2 linked regions of the Stegostoma tigrinum genome follow. The protein of the gene in region 2 purifies or fractionates together with the protein of the main gene of each other region. This does not show direct contact. Links are inferred from orthologs where the notes say so. Each region holds a gene or a part of one and is shown on either strand. Other genes may lie near its edges. The genes, in order: prkcz and llgl2.

Region 1 (11,936 bases), on a different chromosome or scaffold from region 2:
CTCAACATAAGTATACACCATTCTTGGTTGCTTCAAGAAGTTGTTCTCTGTCAGGTTATTTTCTTGACAAAATTTTGTTTGCATTACTCCTTTTACATTTCTTCATCCAAAATAAGTTTGACCAACACGCTGAGTTCCTTCACCAATTTCAGCTTTACATGAGCAACTTCAAGTCACTTTATTTAAAAACTTAGGTTCCAGAGATATACAGCATGGAAACAGACCCTTTAGTCCAACTCAACTGTGCTGACAGATATCCTATATAAACCTAGTCCCATTTGCCAGCATTTGGCCTATATCCTTCTATCTCCTTCCTAATCATACAACTAATTTTGTAACTGTACCAGCCTCTACCACTTACTCTGGCAGCTCATTCCATACACACACCACCTTCTTTGTGAAAAAACTGCCCCTTACGTCCTTGTTATATTCTTTCCCCCCTCACCTTATACCTACGCCCTTTCATTTTGGACTCCCCTACCCCGGGGAAAAGACCTTGCCTATTTACACTATCCACGTCCCTCACGATTTTATAGACCTCTAAGATCAGCCCTCAGCCTCCAACACTTCAGAGAAAACAGCCCTAGCCTATTCAGCCTCTCCCTGTCGCTCAACCCTCCAAACCTGGCATCATCCTTTTCTGAGCCCTTCCTAGGGCAACAACATCCTTCCTATAGGAAGGAGGCCAGGATTGCATGCAATTCTTCAAAAGTGACTAAACCAATGTCCTGCACAGTTGCAACATGACCTCCCAACTCAATGCACTGACGAACAAAGGCAAGCAAACCAAATGCCTTCTTCACTATTCTCGCTACCTGCATCTCCACTTTCAAGGAGAAATGAACCTGCACTCCAAGGTCTCTTTCTTCAGCAACACACCCCATGGCCTTACCATTATGTGGTTAAGTCCTGCCCCAATTTACCTTTCCAAAATGCAGCACCTCACATTTATCCAAATTAAATTCCACTTGCCATTCCTTTGTCCATTGGCCCATCTGATCAAGATCACATTGTACTCCGAGGTAACCTTCTTCGCTGTCCACCACACCTCCAATTTTAGTGCCATCTGCAAACTTACTAACTATACATCCTATGTTCAGATCCAAATCATTTATATAAAAGACACGCAGCATTGGACCCAGCACCAATCGTTGTGGCACACCGCTGGTCACAGGCCTCCAGCCTGAAAAGCACCCCTTAACCACCACCTTCTGTCTATCTTTCAGCCAATTCTGAATCCAGATAACTAGTTCTTCCTACATTCCCTGTGATCTTACCTTGCTAACCAGTCTACCATGAGGAACCTTGCTGAACACCTTAAATGAAGTACATCCCCACACACAAAGTCACAACGACAATCCCTAAAACAGTCCTTGCTTTTCCAAATGTATGTAAATCCTGCCCCTCAGAATTCTTTCAAACTGCTTTCCCACCATTAATGTCAGGCTCACTGGACTATAGTTTCCTGGCTTTTCCTTATTGCCTTTCTTAACTTCTGGCATAATAATAGCCATCCCAGTCTTCCACTTCTCCACCTGTGGCTACTGATGATACAAATTTCTCTGCAAGGGGCCCAGCAATCTTTTCCCTTGCTTCCCAGAGTTCTGATCCTGGGGATTTATCCACCTTCATGCATTTTAAAGATGTTCAGCATCTCCTCCTCTGTAATATGGACATTTTTCAAGATGTTGCTATTTATTTCCCCATGTTCTCTAACTTCCATATTTTATATTCCATTGCTGGTTTATAAGCTGTTGTATTGCTTTGGAATTTTGAGAAAGCTTGACCATAATGCTTTAGGACGTCACTGTCGAATAGATGACCAGTGGTCATGTTGGGAATTACACTTATGTGACAATCAGCTTTTCTTTGAGTTTAACTGTGGATCACCCTTTTAGATTTGTCAGTCACCTTGAACTTATCTCTTGTATCACTCGTTTACTGGAATTCTGATTCCATTCCTACATTTCTCATCCTACTAGAACTAAAGCACTTAACTTTTTGCCATCTAACCAAGTTCTAACTGACTTACTTTTGCGCCTCTTCAGGAGTCAAAAATAGTATCTATCCATTACCTATATGCAGATATATTCTGGTATGATGCCCTTATATTCAACCTTCTTAATTTCAAGGAGCTACCTCTCCCATTAAGTGTAACAGACTCAGAAGTTCTCTCTCATGACCATAAGACAGAGGAGCAGATGGAGGCCATTTGACCCATAAAGTTTACTCTTATCATTTCCATGATTGATAATCCTGAATTCCACTTTCCTTATTTATCTCCATTACACTTGCCTCTATTACAGAAGTAAAATCTGCAAAATCATGAGCTTAAATCAACTTGGTCATATATTACTCTGTAGGCCAAGGGCTTTTCATTTCATCACTATTTACAAAATAGTTGATTGCAGGCAGTCTAACCTTTTTTGTATATACTATTTTCCAACAATGACTCTCCAAGATTAATTGAGCTGTTGTCTTATCAAGTTGTTAGAATTTATTTTCTATTTCAATATTCCCAGATATTATGCACGTTTGAAGGGATTCCATTTGCACAATCACAGAGTTTGATCCTGGAACTGCTGGTATGTCTGAACAGCTACTTTGAATCCCAACTGACTAATACTATTGGGGGACACTGGTTTTCTCGACCTGAGGTCTTCTTTGACAGACTTGGCAAGAAGATCAAACACATTTGTCCTCTCAAACATCTCCAAGACACACAAATTTCCAAATAACCTCATCAGTTACTTGTCCACGTTGTTTTAAAGTACATGTGAACATCAGTTTTCATATTATAACATGCAACAACAGAAATAAGCTTATGATGGTAAGGCCAGATTTGTAGAATAGTCTCTCCAAAATCAAACTGACACTTCACAAACTACGCACTACACTCATCCATGTACATGCGAGAAGGCCAAGTTAGTCAAGTAGATTCAGAATACATTAATGTTGTTTTCAGTTTTAAACACTTTGCTGTGTCAACCAAACAAATAAAATCTTGTTCTATGTCTAAAAGGTGAAATTGATGTTTTCCACTGGAATGAAAAGGGATCCATATCAGATTGCAGTGTGGCTTTTTTTGGATAATAAAGTTTTTAAACTTGGCATTCCTCACTTTGCGCTCCCAGTAAAAATCAAGTTTGCTGTGTGTCAGTTGGATAAGTAATTTATTGGATATGCATTCCCAAAGGAAGCTGGTTCAGCCATTAGGTTTACAAATTCCTGCTCTATAATTATAATCAAAGTCATAACTCAAAATTCCCCAACATAATACTTAAGCACATCATGCAATTTTTTAAAAATCCTTTCACAGGATGTGGGTGTTGCTGGCTAGGCCAGCATTTATTGCCCGCCCCTAATTACCCAGAGGGCAGTTAAGAGTCATTGCTGTGGGTCTGGAGTCACATATAGACCTTACCCAGGTATTGATGGCAGTTTCGTTCCCTTAAAAGACAGGGGCAAACCAGATGGATTTTTCCTGATAATCAACAAGGGATTCATGGTCATCATCATTAGACTCTCAATTCCCGATTTTTATTGAATTCAAATTCTATTTGCCCAATGGGATTCAAACCTGGGACCCCAAAATATTTCCTAGGTATACATTTTTGATATAGAATCCCTAGTGTGTAAACAGGCCCTTCGGCCCAACAAGTCCACACCGACCTTCACAGCACCCCACCCAGACCCCATTCCCCTAATCTACACAACCCTGAATACTATGGGCAATTTTAACATGGCCAATCCATCTAGCCCGCACATCTGAGCCATGGGAGGAAACTGGAGCACCCAGGAGGAAACCCACACAAGCACAAGGAGAACGTGCAAACTCCACACAGACAGGCGTCCGAGGTGTAGAATTGAACCCGGGTCTCTGGCGCTGTGAGGCAGCAGTGCTAACCACTCAGGCACCGTGCTATGATTCTTTGGATTAACTGAGAGTCTATGGATTAACAGTCCAGTGATAATACCACTAGGCCACTGCCTCCCCTTATATCTACACACAAGATGTTTGGCTGAACAAGAGTGGCCAGAAAATACAGCACCATGCTACTTGACAACAACAACAACAACAACAATCCAATGAGATTTAAATCATTGAAGAGACAGGAAGAAAACTAAATTCTGTAAAAAAATCTTTTTTATCTTCAAGCAAAGAGACAACCTGAGTGTAACAAGGCTGAAAGCTGCAATATAGAGTAGCTTTAGTTTGTGTCTCTGGTTTCAGGTTACGTGTATACTATTACACATGTAAAATCCCAATTATATGGCCTTCAGTCCTCCTTTTGCCACGTCATTTCTGAAGTAACTGATTTATTCTACAATGCTGTCAGTTTGTTGATAATTGAGAGAAGAATGAAGTAGTGATAACTGACCAAGTTGGATTTAGCCTATTTAACGTGGGCAGAACATATGTGGGTAATTTTTCACATTTTCTCATAGATACCTTAATGAAAAATGTACTTTAACAGGTCAGCTAGGTACCTGGCTGGTGCTGGAGCATGATTTATCAGCACAATTGTTGGAATGTTGTTAGGCTCCACATTCTCTGCAGTATCCAGTGTCTTTGGACGTTTGTTGCAATCACATGGGTAGAATCTAATTGGCTGGATGCTGCCATGTTGGGTCCTCATAGGCAAATTGAGGTCACGAAAATGTTTTTCAGATTTTGTCACAAACCAAAAAAAACTTTAGATGTGCTTGGTTGTGATAGACTTGAAAAATCAAACGTACCTAATATTTAGCATGCCATCTAATTCCAGGTGTTATATTTGTTTACAGTATCACAACCAACATAATGGCAAATTAATTGAAGAGAAAAGACTGAACACTCAGAACCACTAGAAGGCTGTAATATTTAAAAGCTCAAAATTATGCAGACAGAAGCCATTACCTGAATTAGTAAATTAAAATTCCTGCAAAAACAAAACCCATAACTACAGGGGCTGAAGGACTAAGACATCCTTGTTTTGTCATACAGATTTTATGATCAACACCAGAGTCACAACCTTTGGCTGATGCCCCAAATTATTCACACTGAAGGATAATTTAAGCATGTCCACACCAAAACAGGAATCAAAATAACTAGCCCATATTTAACAGGTCTAATAATGTAACGCGTAAAATTCTTAGACAAACAGCGCACTTTAGACAGCATCCTGTTCAATAACGTCAAAGCCAAATGTTTAGTATGGTAAGAAAATAAATAGTTTTCGAATAGATTAACTGGAAACATACACTGTTAGTGTTAAAATGCTTGAAACTCTGCATATCTTCTCTGTAACTGCCTACAAAAAAAGTGTCAAAAAAGTTTCACAGCAGCATGATCGCACAGATAAATTGTTTTTCCCTGAAGAAAACGCTTTCATCTTTCAATCAATTTTCTAAGAGACGCAATAAAACAAAACGCTTTCTTAAGCGAATAGTATGCTAGGTAAATACTGTGGGAAGCTATCGAGTGTCAAATTATTTTAACTTACCCATTGTAGTGAGCTTTGACTTTGATCGAGTCACCTGTTCCGTGCTCCATGTTGTTATCCAGCCTCGTAGGCATGACACAATCGACACTCCACCAGCGAACGGATTCAAAGTAAACCAGCGCAAACTTTCGGACAGGAAGGCGCAGTTACGAAAAAGCCTCTCGCTGCTTCTCCAGTACAAATTCCACCACTTTCCTTTTAGGAAAACCCAAAGCTTCAACCTCAGCAGATCTTTGCTTGTTTAAAAAAAAGCCGAATTGAATCACAGAAGCCAATCAAGTTTCAGAAAAGATGGAACATAAGACTTTCGATGAAACTCGTTATTATTCAATGTCGTGACGAAGTATCAACTCGTGTTTCTTTTTGCTCGATTGCGCTCCTAAGGAAACTTGTTGCTGCCGGTAGCCCGCCACTCTAGCAAAGCTCGCGCTGCACAAATGGCGGTTACAGGTTAACCGACAATTCCCACCCTGCGCCGCCCCCCCAGCGTGGACACCACAAGCCGCATCAACAACCAATCACATTCTAGCAGAAGTTACCTGTACTACCCTCCCTCCCCAGCCAATCCCGAGGGACAAACCGGCGAACGGAATCCCACCTTGGCCAATCAGGAACAAATCGAACTTTGACCAATAGAACAAGGGATGGCTGCGTTGTTTAATGAAAAACCTGCCGCCAATCCGATCGCGGCCTCCGCCCTCCCCAAATCACCTGGAACCAATGGGAGACAAGAAGCCTCTCATACTGAACAACAGAATGAAAGCCTTGCACTGAAATCGCGTTCGTCACGCTCTTTCGGAATGTCATCACTGATTTAGGAGATAACAAGGTGTAGAGCTGGATGAACACAGCAGGCCAGGCAGCATTAGAGGAGCAGGAAAACTGACGTTTCGTGTGAAGAGATAATGGGAACTGCAGATGCTGGAGAATTCCAAGATAATAGTGTGGAGCTGGATGAACACAGCAGGCCAAGCAGCATCTCAGGAGCACAAAAGCTGACGTTTCGGGCCTAGACCCTTCATCAGAGAGTTGCGTGTGAAGACCCTTCTTTCTCTGATGCTGCTTGGCCTGCTGTGTTCATTTAGCTCTACACCTTGATATCTCAGATTCTCCGGCATCAGCAGTTCCTACTAACACTGAGTTGGGAGACCTGCGTTCAAGTGTCACTTGCTCCAAAGGCATGTAAATAACATCCCCGACTGGTATTCTGACAAAAAAAACCTGCCTTTTTCCAATGGCAGACTCTTCCCTGACTAACATTGAAAACAGAGTCCAAAAAAAACCCAGCAGGTGTCTTCTAAGTCATATATTTTCCCAGAAGTATACATTAAAATAAAATGGGTCCTTTCATTTACCTTTAACACAGGACCAATTTGCATTGATTAGAAAATATCTAAAACGTCCTTTCAGGACGACCTGACCTCTTGATTTTATTAACTCATTGGACATGGGTGTCACTGGCTGGGCCAGCATTTATTGTCCATTCCTATTTGCCTTTGAGCTGCCTTTATGAACTGCTGCATTCTATGTGCTGTAGGTTGGCCCACAATGCCCTTAAAGTGGAAATTTCAGGATTTTGACCCAGCAACAGCCCTTGTCCTTCTGGATGGACATGGTTGTGGTTTTGGAAGATGGTGTCTAAGGATCTTTGGTGAATTTTTGCAGCGCATCTTGTAGGTAATATATTCTGTTGCTACTGAGCATTGGTGGTGGATGGTGTGGATATTTTGTTGATGTGGTGCTAATCAAATATCCAGGTTGATGTCAAGCTTCTTGGATTTGGATTTGCATCACAAATGTATCCTTGCAGAGCTTATCAGAAATAGGCATTGTTTTTATTAGCCATGACTCAGTGATAGCACTCTTGCCTATTTGTTAGTAAATTGTGGGTTTAATTCCCACTGCAGCTGGAGCTCTACCCATTCAGGCAAATGAACAGTATTCAATCACACTCCTAAACTGCGCCTTGTAAATGGTGGATAGGCTTGGGGAGTCAGGAGGTGAGTTACTCACTACTGTTGATAGTGGAGATTCGGTGATGGTAATACCATTGAATGTCAAGGGGTAGTGGTTAGCTTGTCTCTTATTAGAGCTGGTCATTGCCTGGCATTTGTGTGGCATGAACGTTACTTTCCACCTGTCAGCCCAAACCTGGATATTGTCCAAATCTTGTTGCATTTGAACATGGACTGCTTCAGTATCTGAGGAGATGTAAATAGTGCTGAACATTGTACAATCATCAGCAAACATCCCCAATGATGGAGGGAAGGTCAATGATGAAACAGCTGAAGTTGGGATGGCCTCAACACAACCTTGAAGAACTCGCGCAGAGATGTCCTGGAGCTGAAAGGACTGACCTCCAACAACCACAACCATCTCCTATGTACCAGCATGACTCCAACCAGAGGAGAGTTTTCCATTTGATTCTCACTGATTCTGGTTTTATTGGGAACCCTTGCTGCCATACTTGATAGAATGCAGCTTTGATGTCAAGGGCTGTCACTCTTAGCTCACCTCTGGAATTCAGCTCTTTGTCTATGTTTGAATCAAGGCTATAATGAGGTCAGGAGGTGAACAGCCGTGCCAGAATCTGTACTGAGCAAGTTATTTTTGAGCAGGTGCTGTTTGACAGCACTGTTGATGACACCTTCCATCGCTTTGAGCTGACTGAGGGGATGGTAATTTGGCTTGGATTTGTCCTGGTTTTAATGTACAGGACATTCCTGGGCAATTTTCCACATTGTAAGGTAAATGCCAGTGTTGTAAATGTACTGGAAGAGCTTGGCTGGGGGGTGGCAAGTTCTGTCATAGAAATTTTCAGTACTATTGCAGAATGGTGTCAGGTACATGGCCTCTGTAGTGTACAGTGGCTCCAACCATTTCTTAATATCAAGTGAAGTGAATCAAATTGGTTGAAGACTGGATCCATAATGCTAGGGGCCACTGGAGGAGGCCAAGATGAATCATCCACTTGGTATTTCTGGCTGAACATTGTTATGAATGGCTTATCTTTTGCACTGATGCGTTGGGCTCTTCCATCATTGAGGCTCAGATATTTTTGCTGCTCCCTCCAGTCAGTTTTCAAACATTTTAAAGTCAATGAAGTGTAATCACTGTTGCAATGAAAGTAAGGAAGTTCTGCAGGCAATTTAAATGCTCAAAGGTCACTCAAACAGCGTCCTGATAAAGGTCAGCTAACCTGCTCATAGGATCGGCTGACGGTAAACGAATAAAATTTACTTGAAAAACTGTCTTTTGTGTATATGCAGAAAAGGCAACACAGTGGCACAGTGGTTAGCAAAGCTGCCTCACAGTACCAGGGACCTGGGTTCGATGCCAGCTTTGGGCAACTGCCTGTGTGGAGTTTGCACATTCTCCTCATGTCTGTGTGAGTTTCCTCCGGGTGCCTTGGTTTCCTCCCACAGTCCAAAGATGTGCAGGCTGAGTGGATTGGTCATACTAAATTGCCCATAGTATTCAGGGGTATGTGGGTTATAGGGGGATGGGTCTGGGTGGGATGCTTTGGGGTTCAGTGTGGACTTGTTGGGACGAAGGGCCTGTTTCCACACTGTAGGGATTCTATGATATTACTGTGGAATCTTCAGCATCCAGTCAAAAGGACAATTTATGGTCTCAATAAGGACTATATCTCTAATACTGCAGTACTCCCACTGGAAATGTTCCAGTAGTTAGCACAGCTGCCTCACAGCATCAAGGGCTTGGGCTACTGTCTGTGTGGATCTTGCATGTTCTCCCCATCTGTGCAGGTTTCCACTGAGTGCTCTGGTTTCCCTCCACAATCTAAGGACATGCAGTTTAGGTGGATTGGCCATGCTGAATTGCCTCGTAGTGTCCTGGAATGTGCAGGTGGGTTAGCCAGGTGAATGAGATAGTCGGAACTGCAGTGAAGAAGGGTCTAGACCCAAAACATCAGCCTTACCTGTTCCTCTGATGTTGCTTGGCTCGCTGTGTTCATCCAGCTCTACACCTTGTTATCTTTTGAGCCAGGTGAATGCTGGGTTACGGGGTTAGCATCGGAGGCTGCGTCTGGGCCGAATGCTCTTCTCAGGGTCGGCTCAGATTCAGTGGGCGGAATGGTCTCCAACTGCACTGTAGGGATTCTATGATTCTAGATGTTATGCTCAAATCTCTGCAGTGGGAATTAAACCCACAATTTACTAACCAATAGGCAAGAGTGCTATCACTGAGTCATGGCTAATAAAAAGGATGCATATTTCTGATAACAAAGTGTGGAGCTAGATGAACACAGCAGGCCAAGCAGCATCTCAGGAGCACAAAAGCTGACGTTTCGGGCCTAGACCCTTCATCAGAGAGCTCTCTGATGAAGGGTCTTGGCCCGAAACGTCAGCTTTTGTGCTCCTGAGATGCTGCTTGGCCTGTTGTGTTCATCCAACTCCACACTTTGTTATCTTGGATTCTCCAGCATCTGCAGTTCCCATCATCACTCATATTTCTGATAAGCTCTGCAAGGATACATTGGTGATGCAAATCTGAATTATCTCCAATCTATCACACATTATTATAAGTTCTAACAAAGGTATCAAAAATTTTAATAAGTTGCAAACTACACTAGATTACAGGATGGCATTGTGCCCAAATGCAAAGCTACTTCATTTTTGTGTTGAACGTTATTTTGACTTAATGGATCGAGGTATTGATTCTCTCCAAATGCTCCTTCAGAAAGTGTATTCCTGGCTACATGTGTTGTAAAGACACCAGGAAGAGAGTTGTAGATGATCCTGGATATATATATGGTGTCAAACGGGAGGCTAGCCAAATCAGCATGCAGCAGTCAGATTTAGATATGACAAGAGCGTGGATGAGGAATTCCATAACAGATGAACTGAGGCACAAATAGTGTCGAGCATCTGGAAGTGGAACTCAGCACTCTTGGTGATTGAGTGAATCTGGGGTCAGAAGCACAACCTGGGTCAAATATAACTTCAAAGTTGCAAATAGTTTAGTTCATCCTCAGATAGCTATAAGAAAAAGAGATAAAGACATCAGAATAGATTTCGTGATGAAGACCAGGCAATTGAGTTTGCCAAATATTTAGCTGGACAAAATTTTTGCTTGCATTGCATGAAAAACAAATCAGGTAATCAGAGACAGTGGAAGGCTCAAGGAACGTTGTGTCAAGATAGAGCAGAGCATGTTTTACGTATGAGTGGAACCTACCATTGTGTTTATGGGTGATTGCAAAAGGATAGAAAGACTGTTAAGAAGGAAGATCACAACGACAGATCCTTACACAACTCTCTCAGCAATCACTCATATTGAGTTTGATTGTCCTCGATAACAGCATCTATTTGGGGGTCTTCTGGTGGCTGAGGTGGCTGAAGCGGTCAATCCAGGATCCACAGATTCTAATGCAATGTGGACACGGTGGGTGGTAATGGTGGTTGGAAGTGGTGGTTGGTGCGCCTTCCTGATGTTCTGTGTATCCTTGTGCAAGAGTCACTTCTGTTCAGCGGCATGATGGAGATTGTTTTTGTGGCATATAGCTCCCTGGTGAGTGACATTTCTCCAGTGATTCTGTTTTGTAGCCACGTTGATATGAAATTTCTTGAAGTTGGTCTGGATGTTATCTTTGAAGTGTTCCTTTTGGCCACCAGCAGCATGTTGATCTTCCTTTAGCAGGGAGCACATGATCTCTTTTTGGAGGCGTAAGATGGGCTTTTGGATGACATGGCCAGTCCATTGGAGTTGCTGCGGAATTATGATGGTGGTGACGCTGGCTATTTTGGCCTCCTCCAAGTTGTTTGTGTTCGTGCGCTTTTATTTACAGGTGATCCGTGGGATTTTTTGTAGGTATATCTAATGGTGTTATTCCAGTGCTTTAAGATTCCTCGTGTACGTAGTCCACATTTTAGTTCCATTTGGCAGTGTGGGAAGGACAATGGCTTTGTAGACCAGAAGTTTAGTCCGGGCCTGTAGGTTATTGTCTTCAAACAGCCTTCTTCTGAGTCAGGCACAGCCTCCAATGACACGGCTCAAATCGTGTATTTCTGCATCAATGTTGGCTTTGCAGGAGAGAAGGCTGCCGAGGTATGGGAAATGATGCACATTTTCAAGGGCTGGTTGTTGACCCTTATTTAGGAGCCGTTGCTGGGTGGTGGTTGATGGACTGCTAGAGTCTTTTTAATGATAAGTGTAAGGCCTAGGAGATTATATGCCTTGGCAAAGCCATCCGAGGCACACTGAAGATCTTCTGCAGCGTGTGCTGCAATGGCACTGTCATCAGCATATTGAAACTCCAAGATGCATATGGTCGGAACCTTGCCCTTGGCCTTGAATTTATTAAGGTTGAACAGCCTGCAAAGTCCATATGATAAATGATTTGAATTCTCTTGGGCAGGTTTTGGCCAGTGAGATGGAGGACGGCGGCAATGAAGATGGGTAACAGGGTGGGTACAGTGATGCAGCCCT
Region 2 (12,321 bases):
TCATCAACCTTTCTAGTCACATCCTCAAAAAACTCGATAAGGTTTGTAAGGCATGACCTACCCCTCACAAAGCCGTGTTGACTGTATTTGATCAAGCCATGCTCTTCCAGATGGTCATAAATCTTATCCCTCAGAATCCTTTCTAACACCTTGCAGAAGACAGACGTGAGACTTACCGGTCTATAATTGCCGGGGATTTCCCTATTTCCTTTCTTGAAGAGAGGAATTACATTTGCCTCTCTCCAGTCCTCAGGTACGACTCCAGTGGAGAGCGAGGATGCAAAGATCTTCGCAAGTGGCGAAGCAATTGCATTTCTCGCTTCCCAAAGCAGCCGAGGACAAATCTGATCCGGGCCTGGCGACTTGTCAATCTTGCCATCTTGTTGCTCCCTCACTTAACCTGGGTCATTTTGCAGGCATTGTGCACCCCATTTATCTTGTAACCAGGTTTGCTGATACATCAGTTCTCTGGTTTCTGTCTTCCTAATATTCAATAGGGAAAAAAACCCAATTTACTCATTCAGTACTGAATGTCAAAATTTGGAGAAATCAAGAAAAGGGATAGTGGTGAAATACAGCTAAGTATAGCATACATGAAAAGTCAATGCTGTATTTTCAAATGGCACAAAGGCAGCTTGTCGATAACAAAAAGGAAGGAACTACAGTTAGATAACGGGGAGGACACATGGGAGAAGAAATCACTTGAAGTTACAGGAGAGAAGCAAGAAAAACAAAATGCCATTTTAAGCACCTGTTATACCACAATTTGACAGCTAGAAACACAACTGTTAAGTACAGGTCACCTATCCTCCACCTCTCTCAGCTCAATAAAGAAGTTGGAGTAAAATTCTATGTTAACCCTTTCAAAAAGCTACAAAAGCAAAACAGGACAACAATTCTTCATTACAGTTACATATCCCAAGACCACTTTTAGCATAGCAGCAAGGGCAAAAACCTATTGATAGAATTCATTCATGGGGTTGTTAAAGAAAAGCACAAAGCTGGGACTACAATGATATCAACAACTTCCTAATTACTTTATTACAAAAAAGGACGGTTCACGTGCGCAGTGGTCCGTACGCAACAAGAGGCCCAGGTTCAAAACTCCCATCTACACCAGAGGCGTGTATCCACGTTTCTGGGCAAGTTGATTTAAAAATACGTTAAGCTCGTTATGTTATCCAGTTGATTGCTAACCTGGTTTGCAATCCATTACCCAAACAGTTAACCATTACCCAAGTGATTATCTATTATCAAGCTGATTAGTAAGCCAACACAAACATTCATACGGAGTTTGGCCTGATTAACGGCAACCAGGCCAGCTGCCATTTCCCGTCACTACAGTAAACCTAACTCAGTCCCCGGTCGTTGCTCTGTAACTGAGCCCCAGGACAGGCCTGCCGTCCGGCTCCGAGCTGCCGGGTTCCTCGCAGGGCTTGGGGGCAGAAATGTGGTTGGATCACGATAGGCGCACCAATCTTGCTGGGCCTTCCCAATCTTACCTGAGCTCCGGGTGGCACTAACTGCTTAGCTCTCCCCTCTCACAAGCCGAATCCCCGCCGTCAGGTGTGGCCGCCAGGTGAAACCTCTTAAAGGGCCCGCACCGCTTCTACAGCGCGCAGCCGCACACAGCAACAGCCAACCGCCCAGTTCCCATTGCAGTCACCTCTTAAAGGGGCAGCGCTAAGCTTATTCGAGGCAGCAAACATCAAAAAGCGAGTTTAGCTTCTTCAGCAAAAAGAGCAAGGGATGATCTCGAACAAGAATAATTAACTGATGGAAAGCCATCAGTTGGAAAGCCAACTTGGTTGGGGGAGGCGAGAATGAAACTGACCCAAGTTTTTCCTTGCCAACCTTTGATTTCAATTTAACTGATCAATATTATACCTTCATAGAAGAGATATACCCCCGTTATTGTGCCTGGACTATTTCCACACAGGTGAAAACCAAGCCAAACAAATTAAGAGCGGCCTTGATGATCGAGATAGAGATTGAGATGAAGGCGAAATAAATTATGGAGTAAAAGATGTAAATTAAATACAATGGAGCACCAGCTCAATGTACAATGTCCCATCTAAGAGAAGCAAAAAGAGAGTATGAAAAGAGATTGTCAGCTAACGTAAGGGAATCTTAAAGTCACTTATTGGCATTTATGAAGTTAAATGGGAGACGAAAGAAAGAGTTGCTTAAATATAGACCAAAAAGGGTTTTTATGCACAGACGAAGGGGCATAATTGAGGTATTAAATTAATATTTAGCATTTATCTTTATTAAGGAAGAAAATGCTTTGCAGACCATCCATAATACCATATCCCTGAACTACTCTAGTCCACATAATGTAGATACCTTCAAAATGCTGTTAGGGCTGGATTTTCAGGAGTTTGACCCTGTGAAAATCCATCAGTGTAAGATGTTTCAAGTAAGGATTGTGTGATGCTTGGAAAAGAACTTGCAGAAAGAGCTGTTTCCATGCATTTGCTGCTGTTTACAAGTGTCAAGAGCACAAGTCTGGAACAGTCTGGCAGAGGAAGTTTGACAGGTTTTTTGCAGCGCATCATATAGCTGGTACATACTACTGCCAGTGTACCTTGGTGGAAGAGGAAGCTAATGCTTAAGGTGGTAGATAGGGTATCAAACAAGCAGGCTTCTTTGATAAAGATAAGGAAGTGTGGATCTGGATGAACACAGCAGGACAAGCATCATCTGAGGAGCATAAAACCCGATGTTTCGGGCCTAGACCCTTCATCAGAAAATCAGAAAATTTCTGATGAAGGGTCTAGGCCCAACATGTCAGCTTTTGTGCTCCTAAGATGCTGCTTGGCCTGCTGTGTTCGTCCAGCTCCACACTTTGTTATCTCAGATTCTCCAGCATCTGCAGTTCCCATTATCTCTGAAGCAGGCTTCTTTGTCCTGGATGTTGTTGAGTGTTGCTGGAGCTGTGTGTATCTAGCAAAGTGAAGAGTATTTCATTATATTCCTGACGTGTGTTACAGGTGTTGGACAAACTTTAAGGAGAGAGGGCATTAGTTACTTGCAGCAGAATTCCTAGCCTCTGGCCTGCTCTTGTCACCAAAGTATTGATGATTGGTCCAGTTCAGTTTCTGGTCAATGATGAAAACTAGAATGTTGATGGTGAAGGATTCAGTGATAGTAATGTCATTGAATATCAATGGGAGACAATTAGATACAATCTTGTTGGAGATCATTATTTACTGACATACATATGTCACAATTGTTACAGACTACTCATCTGTATGAGCTTGAATTCTATGTACATTTTATTGCTTATGGGCATAGACTACTTCAATACTTGAGGAATCGTGAATGGTGCAGAACATTGCACAGTCATTAGGGAACCTCTCCACATCTGACCGGAGGATGGAGGAAAAATTATTGATCACTGTCCTGAAAAAAACTGCTGCAGAGATGTCCTGAAGTGGGGAGGTGAGATGATTGGCCTCCAACAGTCACAGCCTTCTTCCTTTGTGCTTGATATGACTCCAACTGGTGGTGACTTGTCCTAATTCTATTTGATACCATATGGTCAAATGCTACCTTTATATGAACAGCAGTCACTCATACCTCACCAATTAGACTTTTTAATCCATTGGACCAAGGCTGTAATGAGGTCTGGAATTGAGTGGCCCTGGCAGAATTCAAAGTGAACACTGATGAGCAAGATGGACTGATGAATAAATGCCACTTATTGCCAGTGTAGCAGCTTTACTGGAGCAGATTGGCTAGATGCATGTCTAGTTTTGGGGCATAGGTCTTTGGTACTACTTTTGGGATATTGATAGAACCCATAGCCTTTGTTGAATCTCACGCACACAACTGTTCCTTGATATCGAATCAAGTGGCTAAATGCATCTGTCATGCAGGAAACCTCAGGAGGAGACTATTTAAGACCACTGCTTTTCAAGTATTGGCCATATTTCAGGACCACTGATCTTCAGTGAATGAACACATAGTGGTATGAACACAGTCTCAGGGGGTCTGCATCTGAGCTTGGCCCAAATGGTTATCCCAAGGTCTGAGATAACTGAGACCTGCATCCGGCTGCCTGTCTCTCTTCCACAGTCTTTCACTTTATTAATGAGCAAGGGGAAGTGATACCTTACCTAGCTAGTGGAACCTATAGGTGAGACCCAGTGACAACAGCCAGATCCTAATACTTAGTTGACTCAAAACGTTCTTTAGCTGGGCTCTGAATGTTGATGTTTTTAATCCTGCTCAGAATCAAGGCAATAGTGTCGCCCTACCTGTAAATGTCAGATTGGGTAATTGCCAGGCTGCTGTTTGGGATGTTACGGCGTGCCACTGGAAGCGCTGGGAAGGCCCTTACAGTACCAAACAGAAAGGAAAGAACTGCGGATGCTGCAAATCAGGAACAAAATCAGACCCGAACAGTACCCTCTCCTTCAAGGTTTTGTTTCGTTGGTCCAAAACTACCCATAGTGCTGTGTTCACGGAAGTGCTGTGGATCTCTGGTTTCCATGGGTTTCCCTGGAAACGGTGGTGGTCCGTGTTCGGGCTTCGGCCCGTTGCTGCTTCTCGGTGGTCTGTCCGCCGTCTATCTGCGGACAGTACAGCGCACGGTGCCCGGGGGAGACTCTGGTCAGTGCTGGGCCGGGGGAGGGGAGAGGAAGGGGATGTGAGCAATGGGGTGGCGTTGTTTTTGTTGCTCCTCTCAGTCACTGCAATGTTGCTGTTGTTTCCACAGGAGAGCTGGTGACTGCTGCTTGCGAACTGGGGGTGAGTGAATTCCTGCAGCTTCAGTGTTGAGGTCGGGTCGATGCTGATGATGGAGAAACCCTGGTAGAAAATGAAGAGCTGCAATCGGGCGTTTTTATCCCCCCCCTCGGGGGGATTACGGTTTTCAATAGGCCAACGAGAGTCAGTTTGAACAAATGGCGGCGAGGGGTTGGTGGTGGAAATGAGATTAGTGGCAAGAAAGCGTAAAGATGTGAGTTTCCCCAATTCCTGGTGTGGAGTCAGAGAGAATCCTGGTCATTGTGACTTTAACTCTGTTTGGATTGGAAGTAAAACTGAGAGGTGGCCTAGATGCTGGACAGTGTGCGAGGTGTGATAAGGAAGGAGGAAGAGAAACTGCCCCCTTGGGTGAATGGTGCAGAGAGTGATGGATAGGAAAGAGCACCAGGAGCCCAAGAAAGATTAAAGAGATTTGACGGAAATGGGAAGGGTTGGGATGAAATGTTTTGAGAGAAAGCAGTTTAGAGATGAAGGATTATAAGAGAATGGATGAGTGAAGGGTGAGCTGAAGACAGAGATGGTATTTTACTGTGAGTTAAATGCACAGTGGCTGGTGTACGAAACGGGTGAATCCTGAGTTTGATGAGGTACCTGGGAAATCAAGGAATTATTAGGTGGACCTCATGGAAATGATGTTGGTAAAGTAGAAACAAAACTGAAAAATGCCAGAAGCAGGTAAAAGGGGCCCTGAGATGTGCTAGGTTGTTGAGGTACTGGCAACAATACAAGAAGTATGGTCTCATCCTAGTTTCTGTTTCCACCTGACAGAGCCACCTTCTTGACTGCTACTACCATTCCAAGTCTTTGATATGTTCCATGCCAGATGATCTGACAAGTTATACTGCGTGTGCTGAGTTTGAGGTCCTCTGACTTGGGGGAGTAAAGACTGTAGTGGGCCAGCAAAAAAGGGAGGCTCCACAAGACAAATAATGGAGTGTTTGAGCTGGCTGACTATTCAGTGTGTTGCCCAGAAATGAGGGCACTGGAAATTTGGCACAAAGCTTGGGGATCTTTTTCCTAAAATCTATGTTTTGCATGTTGGTTTAGAGAAGGGGAGGAAAACTGAGTGGACGAGGGCAGAAGGAAGTGGTTGACTTTACAACTTCTAAATCCCAAGATCATGATCAATGGTAAGAGGTGACAGTAGTAGATGTGTGTTGAGTGAGCATTGGGTGGAGAAGTCTGAGATAGGTTTTTTTCACCTGGACATGATCTGGATTTGGTATTGTAGTCAATTGTATTCCTCTTAAGACTGTCTCCTCTGTTGGTGCATCCAGCAGTTGGCCAGAATGGCCTGCTTTAAGGATGGGTACTGGCTGCAGATGCTTGATCATGGATGGTTTTGGACATGTTATGTTTTGGGTGATGTGGGTGGTTTATGGTCTGTTGCTTTTCTGTTTTTCAGGTGGCACATCCTCCTGGATATCCATTGTTCACTGTCTTGGCTAGACTGGCAATGACCATTCTTCCAGTAGGCTCCCCTGTTTTCAGAGTCAATGTTTTAAATGCTATATTGGGAGCAGCTACAGCCCCATTAATCTTTGAGACAGCTGGGAGGTGAGTCCAACGTAGGGAACAGGATCCTACTCTATCTCTACAGACACTCCTATCAAAGTTTCAGAGACAGGGTCATTCAGCTTCTCAGACTTATCCACCATTCCATTCAATTGTAACTGAGCAGTATCTGAATTCTCTCAAGCAACCTGGGTTTCATAACCTTTTATTCACTTATCCAATACACAGCTGTTAATCTCAATTTGAAATTGTTAATTGACTCCGTTATTGGGGTAAAGTTCCAAATTTTCAGGAAATATTAGAAGTCTGGCAAGAGCCTAAGTAACAGTTAGATCTTTACTAAAAATAAAGTTAATGTGAGGAATGTGACCTGATCGGCTCCTTGTTCCGGGTCCCATTCTTAATGCAATCAACTTAATTTAACCATAAACATCTCAATTAAATCATCTTTTAATCTTATGTAATTAAGGGAATATAAATCCAGTCTAAATAGCTGTCCTCATGATTGAATCCCTTTTTGACACTGATGTATTATTTGTTGAATTATTCTTGAGGTGGATGAGCTGTTATTTAAAGGTACTATATACATGCATGGCCACTTCGACCTTTCTGAGTTGGGATACTTGAAACTAAATGCGGCACTTCTGATGTGCTGTATTTGAGCTTTATAGACGACAATATTCCAGTCCCCTTCAGCTTAATGTTAACATTGAATTCAGAAATTATTTTTGTGCCTGTGTACAAGCTTGTGACTTTTTTTCCCAAAATTTCCAAATCTTTCTGCTCCTGCACTGTTTGATCTTTCCTGCTAGATAGAAAATTGATTCAAATTTTCTGGTCCAGATTAGATGACATTTTTTTTTGGTCATTGAATTCATCTGCCAAGGTTTCATGCACTTGCTGAATCTTTCAATGTCACTTTGGCACTCCTGGTTCCCATCTACATAATTAATAAACACCAAAGCAAAATATTCTGGCTGCTAAATACCTAAAGTAGAAACGAAAAATTCTATATATACATAGCCAGCTATGATTGATCCTGGGAGACCCCAGTGCTATCAGCTTATGTGTAAAATGACTTGGCTACAGACAAATATTTGTGAAATGTGTGAACAATTCATTTTCATGAATTGAACAGTTATTCTGCCAAAGTACTTTTGAGATAATAATCTGCAGATTTATTTTTGTCAGGGCTGGACATTGTGCGTTTGTACGTTATATTTTGAGAAGGGTTAGAAACTTTGGGGAATAAACTAGTTATTCATTTCTTGCTTAAGGGATCTCACTGGACTGTTTCTGATACTGCCATTGCAGCTCATTATCACCTCTCCTTAAATTTAAACTTTGTTGAGCCCAGTACAGAAGGGGAAGAGAAATAGAATCCATTCACCGCTCTCTAAATTGGGTTGTGTAAAGACAGAGCCTCAGAGAATGGCGCAGTCAGGAATTAGCTGTCCCTTTGAGAGAAAATGAGAAAACAAACTTAATGTTTTGTGAATTACAAGAATGAAGCCATTAAAGCGTGTGAGAGTTGCAACAGATCAGGACCTATCTTTTGGTGCCCTTCCAACTTTTTTTGCTAAAGATCTAACTGTTACTTACGCTCTTGTCAGACTTCTAATATTTCTTGCACTTTCTCTTTCAACACCCTTTCCCCATCTTTTCCCCACATCCTGACAGCTCACTAGCCAATCAGCAGAGGTCACTCATTGGTGATCAGATGCTTTTAATCAAACTCAAGAAATCACAGCACACCAGGTTATTGTCTAGCAGGTCTATTTGAAAACACAAGCTTTCGGATCCTCACTCCTTCTAACACCGGAAGGAGTGAGGCTCTGAAAACTTGTGTTTTCAAATTAACCTCTTGGACTATAGCCTGGTGTTGTGATTGCTGATCTTGTCCACCCGAGTCCAGCACCTCCACTTCATTTAGTCAACCTGAAATACTCCAGCAGGTTTAGTAAGATGCCAGTGTTAACGGAACTGGGTGATTATCCATTATGGTGAATGGGGGTGGGGTTATGGGCGTGCATTGGTTTTTAGCATAATTGAATCATTTGAAATTGCACAGGCTGTGATCAATGATTTTAGCAAATGACAGCTGATTTTCTTTTTACTCATTGTGATTCGTTTTTGTTAAAGTCATGGAAATAACATTTTTGTCATGGAAAATGTCACAATAGGGAATAAATGGACTCAAGCTACCAATCACCCATCATCTGTTAGAACAGTTGTTCGGGAAAGATTGGGCTGAGTGGCTTGTTCCTGTTTCTGATATCCCATTCCATTTGTTTCAGGTTGTCAGATTCGTACACTGGAGGAATTCTCGCTGCTGGCCTCTTTGGCTTTTCTCGGTTGGCATGGCAGTGGTCTGTTGCAGCTGAGGTTTTCACCTTGAACAATTTTTTTGTTGGTCTTCTCATGGTCCTGACAGTTCGATTCAGTACAGCAGCCACATCACAGGAAAGGTCAAAGGTACATTCTGTTGCTTGCTTTCCCCATAAACAACAGACAACAAACAATGTGTCATAGGGGATTGGCTGAGAAAGTGTTGCAAGCCTGGCTTCAAATCACAAACTCAGGCGTATTGTTTATTGCAGTCGAGCAATGGGTTAACAAAAGAACAGTTGCATTAATTTATTTAGTCTTTCGACAAAAAATGATTTAAATATCATCATCCTGTCCTTGGACCCCAATTTCATTGCTCACTAGTTGTGTGGCGATCTGATATAAGTTAATAACATTGGGTGCCAACCAGCATCTCTTATATATACATATATAAGAGATGTATATTAATATTACATAGAATCCCTCCAGTGTGGAAACAGGCCATTTGGCCCAACAAGTCCACACTGACCCTCAGAGCAACCCACCCATACCCATCACCCTATAACCCACCCAATCTACACATCCCTATGGGCAACTTAGCATGGCCAATCCATCTAGCCTGCACATCTTTGGACTGTGGGAGGAAACTGGAGGAAACCCACGAAGACATGGGGAGAATGTGCACACTCCGCACAGACAGTCACTGGAGGGTGAAATTGAACTCGGGTCCCTGGTGCTGTGAGGCAGCAGTGCTAAACACTGAGCCACTGTGTTGCCCCATCACATTAGTTCAGTGAACACCACCTTGATACCCACAAAATTGCCCTGAAGAGTTTTCATGCCCATATTGGTGCAGTGTGCTATTTTTAAATATTCATTGGTGGAATGTGATTGTCAGTAGCTCAGCCAGTATTGACAGCCATTTCTAAATCCCCAGAGGGAAGTTAAGAATCCGCCACATTGCTATGGATCTGGAGTCACATGTAGGTCAGACTGGGTAAGGACAGCGGTTTCCTTCCCTAAAGACCCTGAGTGGACCAAATAGGTTTTTTGACAATCAACAATAACTTCGTAGTTATTGTGAAACTCTTAATTACATATTTTTGTTGAATTCACATTCCAGTATCTGTCATGGCAGAATTTGAGCCCCAGTCCCCAGATTATTACCTGGCTCCCTGGATTAATAATTTAGCGTTACTACCACTAGGCCATTGCTTCCCCCTATGGGTTTTCTACCCTCAAGGAAACCCTACCACATAGCAGATATTGTTGACTGATCTTGTACATTCTTTCTATTGTGTTGTAATCATGTTTCCTCGAACAAACAGTTTGCCACATTGATGTAGATTTGCTTTTGGGGAAAACCTCACTTGGAGATACTTGAAAGCCTGATGCTGTAATAATGTGAACCGTTGCAGGAAGATCCACCTTCTTTCCAGTTTTTTTTTGTTGTTGACCATCTTGCAGCAGAGCGCATAAATGTGTGCAGCTAAAGTGGAGGTAGTGAGGGTAGCTCTCACAACATATTCTGGCATGTGTGGGAGCTATAAGCCAAATCCCAACACAGTGACAGGGCAATGTCACTGCCTTTGTTGTCCCCTTAAATTGGTCCACTATTTCATGGGCAACTCTTTTGTAACTACCTCTACTCCTCCTTGCCCCTCTCCCGATGATAGCGGGAGAAGGACCATTGTCAAAGAGAGAACAAGCAGGAATAATTAACAACTTGTGTTTTTGTTGAGACTTTAATATGCATTTAGCAACAATTCATTGGATATGGACTTGGAACAGAGAAACCAGAAGACCTGATTGGTAGGTTTGAACTCGAGGGAAATAGGAGGAAATACAGTGACAGTTTAAGAGGCAGAACCAGGATAAAATTTGAGAACAATATCAGGACATTGGGAGTTAGTAAAGACCATAAAGTTTGAAGAGCAGTGATCATCAATGTTGCAAAATATGGTGCCTGAAAAAGATCAACTTAATAAATATCTCAAGACTCTTTACAGAAGTATGAGAAAACACTAAGCCACATAAGATGATTTTAGGTCATAGCGAGTTTTGAGAAGATTTGTTTCTCAGGTTGAGGTTCTGGATGTGAGTTTGCTCGCTGAGCTGGAAGGTTAGTTGTCAGACGTTTCGTCACTTGTTTTTATTTGAAAAAATATACTTTATTCATAAGATGTACAAAAAATAAAACATATTTATACACCTACCCAGTCATGCAAGCTGCTCTGGGTCACCCACGGGGTACGTACACCAACTAAAGGAAAAAAAAACAAAGAAGAAGAAAAAAACAAAGCAAAGAAAATACCCCGGCAGTCGTCACCCTGCACAGTCCCCGTTGGCCCCCTGTCAAGTTGGGGAAGGGGGCAGCTGGGTCCAGTTACCAGATAGGGCCCTTTTTTCCATTCTGGACGAGGGGCTTCGTACAGTGGTCTTTACCCACCGCGCCTTGGTGGCGGCTGCCCCAAGCTTTAGCGCGTCCCTCAGCACGTAGTCCTGGACCTTGGAGTGCGCCAGTCTGCAACACTCGGTCGGGGTCAGTTCTTTCAGCTGGCAGACCAGCAAGTTGCGGGCAGACCAAAGAGCATCTTTCACCGCATTGATGGTCCTCCAGGCGCAGTTGATGTTGGTCTCAGTGTGCGTCCCGGGAAACAGCCCAGAGAGCACTGAGTCCCGCGTCACGGAGCTGCTCGGGACGAACCTCGACAAATACCACTGCATCGCCCTCCAGACCTCCTGCGCATAGGCACACTCCAGAAGGAGGTGATCGACAGTCTCGACACCCCCGCAGTCGCCTTGAGGGCAGCATGCGGTGGCGCAGAGATTCCAGGCATGCATAAAGGATCTCACTGGCAGAGCCCCTCTCACCGCCAGCCAAGTAATGTCCTTGTGCTTGTTTGAAAGTTCTGGCGATGAGGCATTCTGCCAAACAACTTTGGCAGTCTGCGTGGAGAACCACACGACGGGATCCACCCTCTCCTTTTCCCGAAGGGTCTCGAGGATACTACGTGCTGACCACTACCTGACGACCTCATGGTCAAAGGTGTTTCCTTTCAAAAATTTCTCCACAAAGGACAGGTGGTACGGGACGGTCCAACTACTCGAAGCGTTCCGTGGCAACGAGGCCAGGCCCATCCTTCGCAACACCGGGGACAGGTAGAACCTCAGTGAGTAGTGACACTTGGTGTTTGCGTACTGAGGATCTACACATAGCTTGATGCAGCCGCGCACAAAGGTAGCCGTCAGGGCGAGGGTGGCGTTCGGTACGCCCTTTCCCCCATTTTCCAGGTCCTTGTACAGGGTGTCCCTGCGGATCCGGTCCATCCTCGAACCCCAAATGAAGTGGAAGATGGCCCGGGTGACCGCAGCGGCGCAGGTCCAGGGAATAGGCCAGGCCTACGCCACATACAACAGTACCGAAAGCCCCTCGCACCTGACAACCGGGTTCTTACCCACGATGGAGAGGGACCGGAGCGTCCACCTGCCCAGCTTCTGCTTCAGTTTGGTGATACGCTCCTCCCAAGTCTTAGTGCATGCCCCAGCTCCACCGAACCAAACACCCAGCACCTTCAGGTAGCCTGTCCTGACGGTGAAGGGGATGAAGCGGTCGTCCCAGTTCCGGAAGAACATGACCTCGTTCTTACCCCCATTGACTTTGGCACCTGAGGCCAGTTCAAACTGGCCGCATATGTCCAACAG

Evidence for each region.
Region 1: the proteins of llgl2 (region 2) and prkcz purify together in Homo sapiens (affinity purification with mass spectrometry; 7 studies listed by BioGRID and IntAct, counting the BioPlex papers as one, with this or other methods). This does not show direct contact. The link is inferred for Stegostoma tigrinum from reciprocal best matches to the Homo sapiens genes LLGL2 and PRKCZ.

Annotation. Positions count from the first base shown.
Region 1 is NC_081381.1:22,668,483-22,680,418, reverse strand, and holds the start of prkcz (protein kinase C zeta type), read right to left. Parts: upstream 5,948-11,936; 5' UTR 5,561-5,947; coding exon 5,487-5,560; intron 1-5,486. UniProt on the Homo sapiens protein: Calcium- and diacylglycerol-independent serine/threonine-protein kinase that functions in phosphatidylinositol 3-kinase (PI3K) pathway and mitogen-activated protein (MAP) kinase cascade, and is involved in NF-kappa-B activation, mitogenic signaling, cell proliferation, cell polarity, inflammatory response and maintenance of long-term potentiation (LTP).
Region 2 is NC_081375.1:36,781,443-36,793,763, reverse strand, and holds the start of llgl2 (LLGL scribble cell polarity complex component 2), read right to left. Parts: upstream 4,475-12,321; 5' UTR 4,263-4,474; intron 1,636-4,262; exon of another isoform or gene 1,503-1,635; intron 1-1,502. Other genes in the region: tmem260 (transmembrane protein 260), read left to right, coding at 4,497-4,617, 4,724-4,755, 6,179-6,330, 8,586-8,763. UniProt on the Homo sapiens protein: Part of a complex with GPSM2/LGN, PRKCI/aPKC and PARD6B/Par-6, which may ensure the correct organization and orientation of bipolar spindles for normal cell division.